2 linked regions of the Elephas maximus indicus genome follow. The protein of the gene in region 1 interacts with the protein of each later gene in a biochemical or structural test. Links are inferred from orthologs where the notes say so. Each region holds a gene or a part of one and is shown in the gene's direction. Other genes may lie near its edges. The genes, in order: CHML and RAB1A.

Region 1 (7,490 bases):
GGGCACGCTCAGCCCCGCGCCCGTCTTCCGCTCGGGCACCTACGAGCGCCTGGCGCTGCTGGTCGGCTCCATTGGGCTGCTGGGTGTCGGCAACAACCTGCTGGTGCTCGTCCTGTACTACAAGTTCCAGCGGCTCCGCACGCCCACTCACCTGTTCCTGGTCAACATCAGCCTCAGCGACCTGCTCGTGTCCCTCTTCGGGGTCACCTTTACCTTCGTGTCCTGCCTGAGGAACGGCTGGGTCTGGGACACCGTGGGCTGCGTGTGGGACGGGTTTAGCAGCAGCCTCTTCGGTGAGTTGGGCGGGGAGGAGGGAGCGAGCGTCCGGTTCCCTGCAGAGCCACCAGCCCACCTCGGCTCCTTCCCGCCCGGCCCGGCGCGCCCGCTCGCCCCGCCTGCCGCCCCTGGCACCAGCCTCCCCTCCGCGTCTCCCTCCTGCTGCACGGCCCGCCTTCCTCCTCCCCTGGGCTCGCCCCGCCAGCGCTGACCACCTCTCCGTCCCCCCATGTGGACCCCAAACCCCAGCCCGTCATCATCTCCTGCTGCTTTTAGCCCCAGCCCCTCCGTAGCCCTGGCCAGCCGCTGCCAAGCTCATCTCCTTTCTCTGCTTTTACCTCCTACAATAATTCAACAGGGCACTAACGACGGCTTTTGCACTTTGAGGAAAGAGACGAGGAAAGTAGAATCGGGAGATTCAAGGAAAAAAGTGACTAACTCGTGAAAGTTGGGGGAAGGGTAACGGGAAGAAACTTAATTCATACACATTTTTTTTTCTTATTCCTAAAATGAGAGGTGGAAACCTAAAATAATAGCAATGTGTAATTTTTTTTTTTCTTTTGCACCTTAGCAGTTGTAAACCTTTGAATGCTTCCTAGGAAGTGACACAGTTTCATTCAGGAATGCAAATTAGCATGTGTCCTATCAGCTGTTTTTTACTATATTTTCCTCCTTATAGGTTCCATGACACCAAAATCTAAGGTGAGAATCCCAACTCAGATGAACAAATAGCTGTGCAAACAGTAGATTTCATTAAAGCAGAACGACTTGATTGTTAATTGAAAATTTATCTCTACAGTTTATCTCTTCTAATCCCCATGGAAGAATTAAATCTCACAGAAACTGACATTTTAAGGATGATCAACCCAGCATTTCGTTGGAAGACATGATTTTCTAAGCTTGGGAAATAAATTATTTTGGGGTGCCCTTTTTTTTTCTGGCAGTTTTATTTGAACAATGATTTGAGATAGAAATGTATATTTTTCAGGTGTTAAAATTCCTTTTCTGTCCAGAAATCTATTGATAATTTATGACTGCTTTTTTATCTTAGCAGGTTTCGGAGAACAAAATCTTTGTAATAATCATCAAAAATATTTTGCTCACCGATTTCTTATGCTGTGACAAACCCAAATATGATGTTTGCTAATGGTTCATTTTTTGATATTTTGAAGCAAACAAGAAAATGTCGTAGGAATCATCACTCCATTAATTTAATTATCTCAGTAATTCTAATACCATTCTCTCCCCACTCCCCAGTAAGCGTTCATCTGAGACTTTCATGTGTACAAAGATTTGAAACTTGGGGAGGGGGCTTTAAGTGTATGTAGGTGATGATACAGATGGCTATGTGATTAAATTCTTTATATTAATAAAAATACCTATTAGGCTTTTTTTTTTTTTAAAGTCAGGGCTAAGCTTTAAAGAGGGTGATTCAAGGCCAAGTGTCAAAAATAATGCCCCCTAGGATGGACAACAGGTGTTTGGTCATAGATGTGAAATCTCTTATTTCCACAAAGTACCTTTTCTGTGCTGGGAAATTCTATTTCTACCTTAATCTGCCTGGAAGGTAGTTTGAAAGCAATGGTGTATTGAGTTCTTTATTACTGCCAACGTGGACCCTCTCCTCAACCTCTTTCCTCTGCCTACACCACCCTCCTGTCTCCTGTCTCCTTTTTCTTCTCTCCTCCTTCACCTTCCCTGCCCAAGGCCCATCCCAATCAGAAGCGATTTTCAAAGAATGCTAGAAACACTCATCGTGCAGTCTTTTACCTCAGGACTGCTCTGTTTTTCTGGGCATTTGGTCAGTGTTTTCAACCATGACTTTATTCCTGCTTTTGAATTAGAGGTGGGGACTCAGAGGTAAGAGGTCCAGAGACCTGTTTAAACCCTTGGAGACAGGTCAGGAGTGGGGTTATGATGGAGCTTGAAAAGTTCTTAGTAACGATTCAGATTTCTTTGGAGTAAATTCTAAGGATGATGCTTCTAGATTAGGGTTAAACATGAAGAAGGCAGCATGCTTCCCCAGGTATTATTCTTGAGCAAAAAGCAACTAGCCATGGAGTACTGAAGAGGGAGGGGGGAAAAAAAAAGCTGCAGTGGCTACACCCTGTCCTCAGCCCCCAGAGGCATTTGAGGAGGCTGCCTGATATAGTGGGAAAATATAGTGGCTGATGGCATGAGGGTGCATTCCGCTCTTGAGTCTATGGCTGATGAACTGTGTACATTTTCCCAGGTCGATTAAACTCTCCAGGGGTCAGTTTTCTCATCTCTGTTATGGAGTAGTTGAGCTAAATGTTCTCTAAGGTCTCGTCTAGCTATGTATTTTGATGACTCCTTTGATATTTGTAGCTTAAGAGGTGCTTTCTTTTAGCACTTGTGGCTTCTGTCCTCTCTCTATACTGACTTCCACCCTCAGCTCCTAACTATCCCCTGCTAAGCTAAGGATAAGCCTGTGCTAGGATCACACTTCTTCACGTACCCTCGTGGAATCTGTCACTCTCTTCACACCTGCTGGAAGAAGGCAGAATAAATAACTCAGCCATACGTACATATATATACATGTATAGGCCAGGCAAACACCTCGTTCTGTGTGCAGTTCCTGGTTTCTCAGGGAATGAGGCAGAGGCTTTGACTAGACAGCGTAGGTAGGCCTAACTTGTACTGATGCAGATTCTAGTAGGTTAAGCAGAAAGGGAGATCAGAATTCAAAGCACTGTCACTCTTACTCACTGTGTAATGAATGATAGAAAGACCCCTCTAGCAGCAGAGTGTGTAGAGGGCAGCCCTCGTGCATAGGTGTGGGGAGGTCGTGCTTTACTGTAGACTTCTAGGTGAGAATGCCCTTTAGCCCATGGCTGCTCCACAGCTGGCCACACCTAGTGCCACACGGGTGTTCTGCACATGGAGTATGCTGGAAGTTCACAGAAGACTTTAATCACTACCACCTCCCACCCCCTCAAAACCAAAAACATCAAAAAAACACGTTAGTCTTGGCAGAGGATGTTTAGACAGCAAGTATTTCTTGGGATACAGAGATTCAGAGTTGTAGAAGTCTAGCAAAATACGAAATCATCCTATTCAAATGTTAGAAGTAGATGTAAGTTATTTATGTTAAGATATTCTAACATATGAACCCGGGAATGTTCTACAGAACATATATGTGCGTATGTACATTCACGTAAAAAAATTGTTACAAATAAATATCTTTCCCGGTAGGCCTATTCGTTTATGCACCTAAGTATTTTTAAATGCCGGTTGCTTTACCGATTTACAGATTCATCTTTTATTAATAACCGGCTGATTAATTCAGTCATAATAGTCATACTTTCATGTGACTACCATAAGATCCTATGGGTGGTTGGGGTCTGGAAAGGTATTCTGGTCAACACCTCTAGAATGACCAACTATATTGGCCTTGGAAATACCCCTAATCATGACAGTATTCACATAGCCTATAATCTATTCCCAGAAATACAATGGCATCACACATTTCTTAGAGTCTAAACTCATAGTTGTATGTAGTTTTATTGAAAGTAAAACTTACAGAATTTTATTATGCTAATTCTTCTTTATTTTTGTCAGACATTATTATGTCCATTTTTCGTTATCAAACTAAGTGATTTGCGAGAGTATATCTCCATTGTTCATTTTCAGGAAATTAGAAACTATGTGAGAAAGCATTTAATGACTTGATTTAGCTGAGGTTTCTATCCAGATAACAAGTGAGGCCCCATCAGACTGTAATTGGTGTTGCATGAAATTACTTTTATGTTGTTTACAATTGTATTCTTTTTTGAATTTTCTTCTTTCAGAGAAGAGTTCCAGTCACAAATGCATATGTGATGCATTTTGACATTCACTGCTAAGATGAAATACAGAAATGAAAACCACACATCACTTTTAGTATTCTCAGAATGATTAGATGTACTTTATCATGTTTTCATGCTACTGACCTATAAGAAAATATATATATATATATATTTAAAAAGGGTAATCATTAAACAGCTAGGACCTGCAACCTTGATGCCTCTGGGATGAACTGGAACATCACAAGGAGAGACTCTATTTCAGCATAGTCACACCTCGGCTGAGCCCTCATCCTAGAGTTGTACGCATTTCCTTCATCGGCAGTTGTCACCAGACACATTACCTCCCAGGATGGCAGACAGTCTCCCCACAGAGTTTGATGTGGTTATAATAGGGACAGGTTTGCCTGAATCCATCCTTGCAGCTGCAAGTTCAAGAAGTGGCCAGAGGGTTCTGCATGTTGACTCCAGAAGTTACTATGGAGGGAACTGGGCTAGCTTCAGCTTTTCAGGATTGCTATCCTGGTTGAAGGAATATCAGGAAAACTGTGTTGATGGGGAAGAAAGTACAGCTGCATGGCAAGGCCTGATCCATGAAACAGAAGAAGCCATTACTCTTCGCAAGAAAGATGAAACCATTCAACACGTGGAAGTTTTTTGTTATGCCAGTCAAGATTTGGATGACAGTGTTGAAGAGGTTGGTGCTTTGCAGAAAAATCCTTGCTCAGTGGCATCTAGTACCCTCACTGAAACTCTGGATTCTGCATGCTTGGGCGAAGACGAGCACTTAGTACACATTCCTAGCTATGAAAGGCCTGCCCAAGACACTTCAAAAAGTGATGGAGAGATTTCGCTAGATGTAAATGACGTCAAGGAACCCCCGGAGAAAGGAAACGATGGTGGAGACAGAGCTCGTGCTCACGCGGTTTCAGATGCAGACAAAGATGAAAACAAACCTGCAGGAGAAGGCAACACAGACCAGCCAACAAGAAACAGGATTACTTACTCTCAGATAGTTAAAGAAGGCAGGAGGTTTAATATTGATTTGGTATCAAAGCTGCTGTATTCTCAAGGATTGCTGATTGACCTTTTAATCAAATCAAATGTCAGTCGATATGCAGAATTTAAAAATGTCACAAGGATTCTTGCATTTTGGGAAGGAAAAGTTGAACAAGTGCCTTGTTCCAGAGCAGATGTCTTCAATAGCAAAGAACTCACTATGGTTGAAAAGAGGATGCTCATGAAATTTCTCACGTTTTGCGTTGACTATGAGCAACATCCTGATGAATACGAAGCTTTCAAGCAATGCTCATTTTCAGAGTACTTAAAAACTAAAAAATTAACTCCAAATCTCCAACATTTTGTACTGCACTCAATTGCAATGACATCAGAGTCATCTTGCACTACGATAGATGGCCTTAAAGCAACAAAAAACTTCCTTCAGTGTCTTGGACGGTTCGGCAACACTCCCTTCTTATTTCCCTTATACGGCCAAGGAGAAATTCCCCAGTGTTTCTGCAGGATGTGTGCAGTCTTTGGCGGAATCTATTGTCTTCGGCATAAGGTACACTGCCTTATAGTTGACAAAGAATCTGGGAGATGTAAAGCAGTTATAGATCACTTTGGCCAAAGGATAAATGCCAAGTATTTTATTGTGGAGGATAGCTACCTTTCTGAGGAAACATGTGCACATGTGCAGTATAAGCAGATCTCTAGGGCAGTGCTCATTACAGACCAATCTATACTGAAGACAGATTCAGACCAGCAGATTTCTGTTTTGATAGTGCCTCCAGTAGAAGCAGGGACCTGTGCTGTTCGGGTCATTGAATTATGTTCTTCAACCATGACATGCATGAAAGACACCTATCTGGTGCATTTGACGTGTTCATCTTCTAAAACAGCAAGAGAAGATTTAGAATCAGTGGTGAAGAAGTTATTCACCCCATATGCTGAAACGGAAGTAGACAAGGAAGCGCTTGAAAAGCCAAGACTCTTGTGGGCTCTTTATTTTAATATGAGAGATTCCTCAGGAATCAGCAGAAGCTCATATAATGGCTTGCCTTCCAACGTTTATGTCTGTTCTGGGCCTGACTCTGGTCTGGGAAGTGAGCATGCTGTCAAGCAAGCTGAAACACTTTTCCATGAGATCTTTCCAAGTGAAGAATTCTGCCCCCCACCTCCAAATCCAGAAGACATTGTCTTTGATGGTGATGATAGGCAACCAGAGGCTCCTGGAACCAATAAGACAATAATGGCTGAACCAGAATCCTCTGAAGAAAGCAAAACCCTAGAAAGTCCAGGGAAGCTGCTTCAAAATTAGAACAGGCAAAACTGGAAATTCTGCATTGGCGTCAGAATATTCTCATTTCAAGGACAGTTTCCATATGAATAAATAGAAGTGGTTATATGATAAATGCAGTGCTAGATGTTGTCTTTAACTCTCTATGAGACAGACATTCAGTCATTGGATGTCTTTGTTTATCGGTAGCTGATTCATTGCTTATTGGACTTCTTTTGTTTAAGAATGGACCCCAAGATCCATAAACTTAAATAGTGTTAGCTTTATTTTTGGTATTGCATATATATATGAGCGTTCCATATTCGGAACTCTGCTTAAAGGAAGGTAATATTGTATCCAGTGATCTTCAGATTTTATCATTATCTACAGAGCAATTAATAATCCCTAAGGAATATTTCAAATACTTTTGCAACGATTGCATTTCCTACCACATCTGCTTTCTTGGAGATATTCGAACAGTGAACCACACAAAAATAAATTATGTGAGTCTTTTTATGTGTATTATGGACACGTAGTGTGGCGATGGTAATAGCAACCAATCCAAGTGCCAATATGATAAAATACATTTGTCTGTAATTGTTAAGCAAATAGCCTTGCATGATTCTTTATTCTTTGTGAAGGGCTGATGTTTAAAATACATTTTATGGTATAATTCAGCAGCTTGACCTTGGTAACCAACTGAGTTAGTTCCATATTACAGAAAGAGTCAGAATTTACTAGTTGAAGAGCTTATTTTTCAGAGTTTCATTTGAGAAAAAAGTTAGAGGATAAGATTAGTTCTGGTTTAATACTTCAGAAAATCTCTGCAGAGCCCTGCTCTAACTTGAAGTTCAGTAGATGAGGCCAACTCAAAAGAACTTCCAGCAAGTAACTCAGGCCACAAAGGGGGGCAGCAATGCTCCAAGAAAAGATACTTCACAGTGGCTGTACTGAAATTCCTAAGAAATTGACTGAGGCATGTTTAACCTGGGATTAAAGCCATCGCAGTTTAAATCCACCAGCCATTCTTTGGAAACCCCATGGGGCAGTTCTCTGTCCTGTAGGGTTGCTATGAGTAGGAATGACTTGACAGCAATGGGTTTGGTTGTTTTGGTTGGTAAATAGTTCAG
Region 2 (7,964 bases), on another chromosome or scaffold:
GAACTTTTCTTGGCTCTCCACCACCTACTGAATAAAGTCTAAACTCCTTAGCAGGCAGTTGGGGCTCCCCATGATCTCACCTCAACCTAACTCAACCTAACCTTCTCCACCTCATCTCCCATGGAACCTGTGGTCACTATTGCTTACACGTGTACATTTTCACACTTCCCGTGGTTTTGCACAAATTCTCTTGCTCATATTCTGGGATAAACAGCCCCCTCTCCCCCATTTCTAGTGGTGATCAAACTTCTATTCTTTTTTAAGGCCTAATTCAAATACCACCTCATCAACAAAGTGCCCTCGATTTTTCGAGTTGGAATTATTTCCCTCCACTGTACTTTCACCTCAGATCATTTTTTAAATACTAGGTTTATAATTGAGGTATAACTTACATGCAGTTAAATCAACTTTCTTTTAGGTATACAGTTATATGAGTTTTGATAAACATATACAGTTAAGTAATTAACCACCACAGCAATCAAGATATAGAGTATTTTTTATCAAACCAAAAAGTTCCCTTGTGTCCCTTAGCAAACAATTCCTTCCTTCCCATACCTGTTGTTGTTAGGTGCCATCAAGTCAGTTCTGACTCACAGCGACCCTATGTACAACAGAAAAAAAACTGCCCAGTTCTGCACCATTCTTATAACCGTTGCTTTGACCCCATTGTTGCAGTCACTGTGTCAATCCAACTCATAGAGCGTCTTCTACTTTTTCACTGACACTCTACTAAGCATGATGTCCTCCTCCAGTGGCTGATCCCTCCCGATAACATATTCAAAGTATGTGAGACAAAGTCTTGCCATCCTTCCTTCTGAAGAGCAATCTGGCTGTCCTTCTTCCAAGACAGATTCGTTCATTCTTCTGGCAATCCATGGTATATTCAATATTCTCCATCAACACTATAATAAGTCAAAAGCGTCAATTCTTCCTTGGTCTTCCTTAGTCATTGCCCAGCTTTTGCATGCATATAAGGTGATTGAAAATATCATGGCTTGGGTCAGGTGCACCCTAGTCCTCAAGGTGACATCTTTGCTTTTTAACTCTTTAAAGAGGTCTGTGAAAGAGCACTCTAAAACTGAGGAGCTTGGGGTAACTAAAATGGCTGACACAGGTCTGAATCAGACTCCATTTTGTTTTAAACTCCTCCTGCTGCTTGTTAAGTATTAGTGCCACTTTCTCATCAACAAGTCTTGCTTTGCAAACAAATGTGGTTATTTTTCTTTGACTATGATTCTAGGAAGGGTGTGTGGATCGTTCTCAGAAAAAAAAAAATGCTTGCCCTCTAGAAGAATGTGTTTGAAAATAGATTAACTGATATGAAGAAAGGTCTGTTTGCAGTTGCAGTTACTCTAACCTTCTTGTATAAAAAACCTTGCCTTCGTTTGTAAATTTTGGAGCACTTTGTATTTTTACCTAGTGCTTCCCAGCTATAGCTGTTACTCTTCTTCAATAAATCCCCTTTTCTTTCACTCCTAACAGAGTATGAGATTTTTCTTTGTCAGATCTTTTGCAGCGAATTTGCCCCCTGCAATACGTTGTTTGATTTCTTGACAATCCTAGTTCCTGCCAATCACTGATTTGATTCCTGTCCCTATACATCTCATATCATTTTAATCTATCTTTGCATTTGCCCCTCTATGCCTTGTTTGTGTACACATCTCTCCCACTGGATTGTAATCTCCTTGAAGACAGACAGTTATAATCATTCGTCTTTGCATTTCCCATTGTTCCAAGAACAAGTTCCAAACACATTTAACACATTGTTTTAAGCATAAGTTCCAGACACATTTTTGTGTCAGCTCATGAATACCTGATGAAGAAAAAAAGTGGAAAGAGACGGAGAAATGAAAGTTAGAAAAAAAGAAGAGACAAACAGCCCTAGCAGAGTTCTGATTCAACAAGAGGACAGCCTATAAGACTCATGCTAGTTTAATGAATTATTCTGAGTTATTAATCTTAACTATAAAAGTGTTGTTGTTAGGTACTGATGAGTCAGTTCCAATTCATAGCAACCCCATATACAACAGGAAGAAATACTATCAGATCCTGCGCCATCCTGACAATCATTGCCATGTTTGAGCCCATTTCTGTAGCCACTGTGTCAATTCATCTCGCTGAGGGTCTTTCTCTTTTTTGCTGACTCTTTACCTAAAGAAAAAAAAAAAAATTTTTTTTTTTTTTTCTTTACCTTACCAGGAAACCCTGCTGGCATAGTGGTTAAGTGCTACAGCTGCTAACAAAGAGGTCGGCAGTTTGAATCTGCCAGGCGCTCCTTGAAAACTCTACGGTGCAGTTCTACTCTGTCCTATAGCGTCGCTATGAGTCAGAATCAACTTGACGGCAGTGGGTTTGGTTTTTTGTTTTGTTTTGACCTTACCATGCACAATGTCCTTCTCCAGGGACTGGTTCTTTCTGATAACACGTCCAAAGTACATGAGACGAAGTCTTGTTATCCTTGCTTTCAAGGAGCACCCTGGCTTCTTTCAAGACAGGCTTGTTTGTTCTTCTGGTAGTCATGGTATAGTCAACATTCTTCACCAACATCATAATTCAGAGGCATCAATCTGTCTCTGATCTTCCTTATTCATTGTCCAGCTTTTGCATGCATATGAGGAGACTGAAAATATCATGGCTTGGTCAGGCACACATTACTCCTCAAAATGATACCTTCACTTTTTAACACTTTAAATAGGTATTTTGGAGCAGATTTGCCCAATGTAATATGTTGTTAGATTTCTTGACTTGCTGCAGTTGGAGACTTAAACAACTTGAAGTAAGTTGAAACATCCACCCACCACTCTCAAGCTGCTACTTGCATATTATACCATAATGAGATATAAAGCTTTTTGTCCTTAGTGTATAGCAGGTACACTTAAAACTTGCAGGGAAGAGGATAAAGAGAATTTTTAACCAGTGCCCTCAAAAAGTCATTGTGTTCTACAATTCTATTCGATTTTATTTCATTCTCACAACCAATTTAGGTTAAAAGTTATTAGAAGGTACTTCTTTGCTAGGAAAAGAAATAAGTAAAGGACTTTGGGGGTATGCTTCCAAGAGGAAGGAGAGATTAAAAATTGCATTTTTGGCTCAGGAGAAGTCCTTGAGCCCTTTTCTCATTTTTTATTCTATGAAGTTTCAATAAGCTAGAAGTACTGAGGTATGTTACTGTTCAGGGTGTCTATCGTTGACCCATTCTGGGTCCTTCTTCTGAGGTAGTGACTGTGTTCATTTCAGAAACCAGCATAATGTGAAGGAACTCTAGTGTACCTTTGATGAGGTTATCAACTAAGGTGCCAGCACTATTTGGGGATTAAGAGTTGTAGTTAGTAAAAATGGGGAGAAATAAGAACCACCTTCTTTCTATACTTTGATGTCATGAGAATATAAAATGATTTTGCAATAAGCCTTAGGAGATAATTTTCTTGGTTCCTAGAGCAAGTTGGAAGATAAACTTTGGACAACGTATTATACTGTGCCCTTCGTAATTAAATAACCCAAGATAATGTCTTAAAAGTTTAGTGATTTAAATTCCTGAACTGATTAAAGAGAGCTGTTAAGACCACAAGGTTTCAAAATTGTATCAATATTACTCCCTGAGTTTCTAGTTATGTATTGAGCGTTTCTATCCCTCACTACTGTCCAATCTTACAGATTGGCTCAGTACTAATAACAATTAAAAATAAGACAGTACACTTCCACTCAAAGGCTGGGGCTCGAACAGGAGGGACCTCGAATTTTAGGCTGACTCTGGGCTGTGTCTCATCCACGGAATGCGGAGCCATTGAAGATGTGGGGTAGTCAACATGAAAGTGCTGTTTCGGGAAGATAAATCTGGCCGTGTGTGCAAGATGGGCTGGGGTGGAGAAGAAATAGATGCAGAGTCCATTTGGAAGCTACCGCAATATCCAGGGTGAGGTGCTAGGAGCGGGCTGGAATAGGAATGAAAAGAAATCAAGAAAATGGGACTGCGTGCGGCCAATACTGGGATGATCGGACCCACTGGAAGAGTGAGGAAGAGAACTGAAAGAACGGCTTTGTGTTTTCCAGAGACCCGAAGTCTTTGGCAAAGTGCCTTTTACTTCCCTTCTATCCTGAGAGCGGGCATCCTGGGACCGGCCTAGAAGCTCAAGCCCCAAGGTGGTGAGGCCAGCAAAAGCCGCACCAGAGGCGGACCCGCCAGGCGTGTCCTCCGACACCCCCGGCCAGCCCGCCTCGGCACTCAGGCTGTCCCTCCGGTCTGACCCCTCCCTCCCTCCTCTCCCAGCCCCCTGCACTCACCCCACCCCCGTCCTCCGCCGGCCCCGAGCACTGCGCTCTGCCCCTCCCTTCCCCCTCCCCCGTGGGGCGCTGACTCGCCCGGCTGCCACGTCTCACTGATGACATCACCAGGGCAGCTCGGCGTTAGCCAATCCGCTAGGGGGAGTCCGAGCGAAGACCTAGCCAGCGAGTCAGCAGGGAGGGGAACGGGGAGGAGCGGCTGGGTGGGGGTGAAACTGGGGGGAATGAGGCGGACCACAGCCCGTCAAATACGCATGCACCAAATGCGCAGCGCTTGGCGGGAAGTTGAGTCCTGGTCCCTGCGCTGCACCGTCAGTCCTTAGCGCTCACAGACGCGGCCTGCGACTCTCTTTCCCGGCATGCCATGCGGTGCGGCCGCCCCCTGGCCGTGTAAAGGCCCCACGGTCTAAGGCTTCCCTATTTCCTGGTTCGCCGGCGGCCATTTTGGGTGGAAGCGATAGCTGAGTGGCGGCGGCTGCTGATTGTGTTCTAAGGGGACGAAGTGGGGGAAGACGTTTGCTCTCCCGGAACAGCCTATCTCATTCCTCTCCTTTGATTATCTGTGGCGCGGAGAGTCAGGGCGGCGGCTGCGGCAGCAAGGGCGGCGGTGGCGGCGGCGGCAGCTGCAGTGACATGTCCAGCATGAATCCCGAATAGTGAGTGTAGGAGAGCACCGGTCGGCTGGATCCGTGGGCTAGCTTGGGGAATCTCAAAGGGGGCGAGGAGGGCGGGGGTAGAGGCTTCGGCCGGGGTGAGGTGAGGGTGATGGGGCGGGAGAGGCCCGCGGCCAGGAGCCGGGCCCCATTGTCTGACGGCGGAGGGGCGGCCGGGGGGAGGGGGCGGGCCGGAGGGGTGAGCCGAGGGAGCCTGGACCCGGTCAGGTGGGAAGGCCGTAGTGCAGGGCCGGTGAGGAGGAAGGGGCCGCGAGAGAGTTTCGGGGAGGGGGGATTCAGGCGTTGGGAGTTGAGTGGTGGGGCGGTGGGAAGAGGTAGCTTCTCTTGGAGGAAGTGACTTTTGAAGGACTCATTTTTTAGGGTCGGAGGTAGGTAGGAGAGCTCTCCAACGGGGCACTATCAGCCCCTGTTCCTGCACCCTGCGGAGCTGTCAGGATCGCCAGGGTAGAAACCAGCTTTACTTGTAAATTCTGAGGCTATTTACTCTTTCCTCCCATCCTCCCCGCCAGGTTGCAGGTAATATGGATGCTTTTCAGGACTGCGTGGGATTGAGGGGAATGAGTAGCTGGCGAGAAGCGATTTAAAATTTTTGTTCTCTCTTTGAGTTTTCTGAAGGAGTTCTTTAAGAACTCGCCGGGCCCTTACTTTCCTAAGAACCTGGACATTTGGGAGTTTTTTTTATTTTTATTTTTTATAAGGAGGACGCAGAAGTCATTTTGTTTTCCGTAGGTCAAATAAAAGAACAAAACTGAAACCAAGGACCGTCTTCCTAATATTACCAAATTCAAGGAATCCTTTGCTGTCAAGTTGAAAGAGAAACGAATGGGACCTATGGTAGATCTGTAGGTTTTGTATTACCTGCTTGAATGCTTGCAGATAGGGAATGAGGCTCCATGACGTGTCATGAAAAGTTAATGCATTTTTTTTCTTGCTTACTCAGAAGTCACCACAGCAGATGTGACACACCTGGCTCCTTTCTTGGGAACTGGTGTTTACTTTCCTTGGGAAGACTTGGTAGGATTCTTCTCAGTGTCCATTGAAAAAATCCTCCTGCAGTATCCTCCACACGTGCACATATATATAAATTAATACTTGGAAAAGATTTAATTGATAATTCTCTTTAGAGTCAGCAGTTTTTAGGAGGAGAGGGGAAATTTTTTTTAAAGCAAAAATCAGCGTTTGTCCTAAAAGTTGAGTTTATTTGCTTAACATTTCCGCTTGAAAAGTCCACTCATTAGCTGTCATGTGTATGTCACATGGCTCTTGCAAAATGCATTCTGACTTCAAGTTTGGTAATGCTGCGGTTTGATGTGGGAATGTTCTTTCTTTTGTACTAAACAGAAGTCATAGTATTTTATTAGAATTTTATATAATTCGAGAAGTTGAGGATAGCGCACTTGTAGTAACATATTTGCTGTGTTGACAGTGTTTTATTTCTTTATCTGGGGCTCCAAGGACAAAGTTGGTTTTGCATAGTTGGACAGAGTTTTCCTGGCAACAGTAGAGGACGTGGATTTACCACTTATGAAGGTGTGTAAACCTCTGCTGTTCAGGGAGTTTTTCATATTTGCTACATGCATGCAGTACTGTAAATAGATCTTAAATATTAGTTGAACAGAATCTTGACAAGTTTCTTATTTTTGTAAAATAGGATAATGGTCCCGTCATTATTCCTACCAGGATCCTCGTGAGGTTCAAACTATAAGAGTCCTCTTGAGGTGGTGTACATCGTTATGTAAAGCATTATAGTAGTGCTGGGATTTAGGGATCTAATCCTTACCATCAAGGAGTTTATAAGGGAATATAGAACATAGATTGCATATATGTCAAATACCAGTAGGTACAGCAAGTTCTAGATAGGTGGCATGAATCTAAGCAACCAGATTTCAGAGGCGAGTGAGTGGTTTGGTTCAGGAAGGCTTGAAAGAAATGGAAGGTCTGACCTTTATAGAAACGGACCTGTAAGGGAATTAGAAGCAATTAGATTTGGTGAAGCAGAAGGGAATGAGGATTTTCCAAGGGGGTAAAAGGTAGAGGAATGGCTGATAAATGGCAAGAACAATACTTTTTTTTTTTTTTAAGAAAACATTATATTGTTGAATGGCTTATTTTACTGACCTTAAAAAGAACATTTCTGAGGAATTTACTTGGTGAAATATTAGTGTTAAAATAGTGAAAAACCAGGATGCAAAACTGCTTACAATAAGATCTTAATTATGATATTAAAATACGCTGAAGAAAACTGGAAGAAAATTCTTTAAAATATTAATGGTTACTTTCTCAGTTGTAAGTTTTTTTTACACTTTTACCTTTTTCAGTTCATATATACTGCTTTTATAGTTGGAAATTTATTAACTTTCAATTATAAAGACAGTATTTCTTTAGTAAATATGGTGTCAGACCATCCGTTCTTTTGAGTGCTATGGGTTATTGACTTCAACAGAATCAAACCTAGAAATAGTTTTTACAGTTTTTTTCCAGGTTCGAGTATTCTCCTTTAAAAAAAAAAAAAAGAACAAACTAAACCCATTGCCGTCGAGTGGATTCTGACCCACAGCAGCCCTGTAGGGCAGAGTAGGACTGTCCCGGAGGGTTTCCAAGGGTTCATTATGGAAGCAGACTGCCACATCTTTCTCCTGTGGAGCAGCTGGTGGCTTCAAACAGTGGACCTTTCAGTTAGCAACTGAGGGCTTTAACCGCTGTACCACCGGGGCTCCATTCACCATTAGGCTGCTGTTATATTCTAGACTGTGCCCTGGTGGTACAGTGGTTAAGAGCTTGGCTGCTAACCAAAAGGTGGGCAGTTCGAATCCACCAAGCCACTTCTTGGAAACCCTGTGGGGCAGTTTTCTTCTGTCCTGTGGGGTCGCTGTGAGTGGGAATTGTCTGGATGGCAATGGGTTGTGGTTATTTTTTTACAGTTAGGCTGTGCCTGATGTAATAATCTAGGAGTTTGGGGAAATATTTGGAGAAGTGTTAGTAAAAATTACTTGGGGCAATAGGAGGTGA

Evidence for each region.
Region 2: the proteins of CHML (region 1) and RAB1A form a complex in vitro, tested with the Homo sapiens proteins (2 studies listed by BioGRID). The link is inferred for Elephas maximus indicus from reciprocal best matches to the Homo sapiens genes CHML and RAB1A.

Annotation. Positions count from the first base shown.
Region 1 is NC_064842.1:22,515,425-22,522,914, forward strand, and holds the start of CHML (rab proteins geranylgeranyltransferase component A 2), read left to right. Parts: upstream 1-4,434; coding exon 4,435-6,402; 3' UTR 6,403-7,490. Other genes in the region: OPN3 (opsin-3), read left to right, coding at 1-293. UniProt on the Homo sapiens protein: Substrate-binding subunit (component A) of the Rab geranylgeranyltransferase (GGTase) complex. Binds unprenylated Rab proteins and presents the substrate peptide to the catalytic component B.
Region 2 is NC_064835.1:71,583,998-71,591,961, forward strand, and holds the start of RAB1A (ras-related protein Rab-1A), read left to right. Parts: upstream 1-4,691; 5' UTR 4,692-4,914; coding exon 4,915-4,937; intron 4,938-7,964. UniProt on the Homo sapiens protein: The small GTPases Rab are key regulators of intracellular membrane trafficking, from the formation of transport vesicles to their fusion with membranes.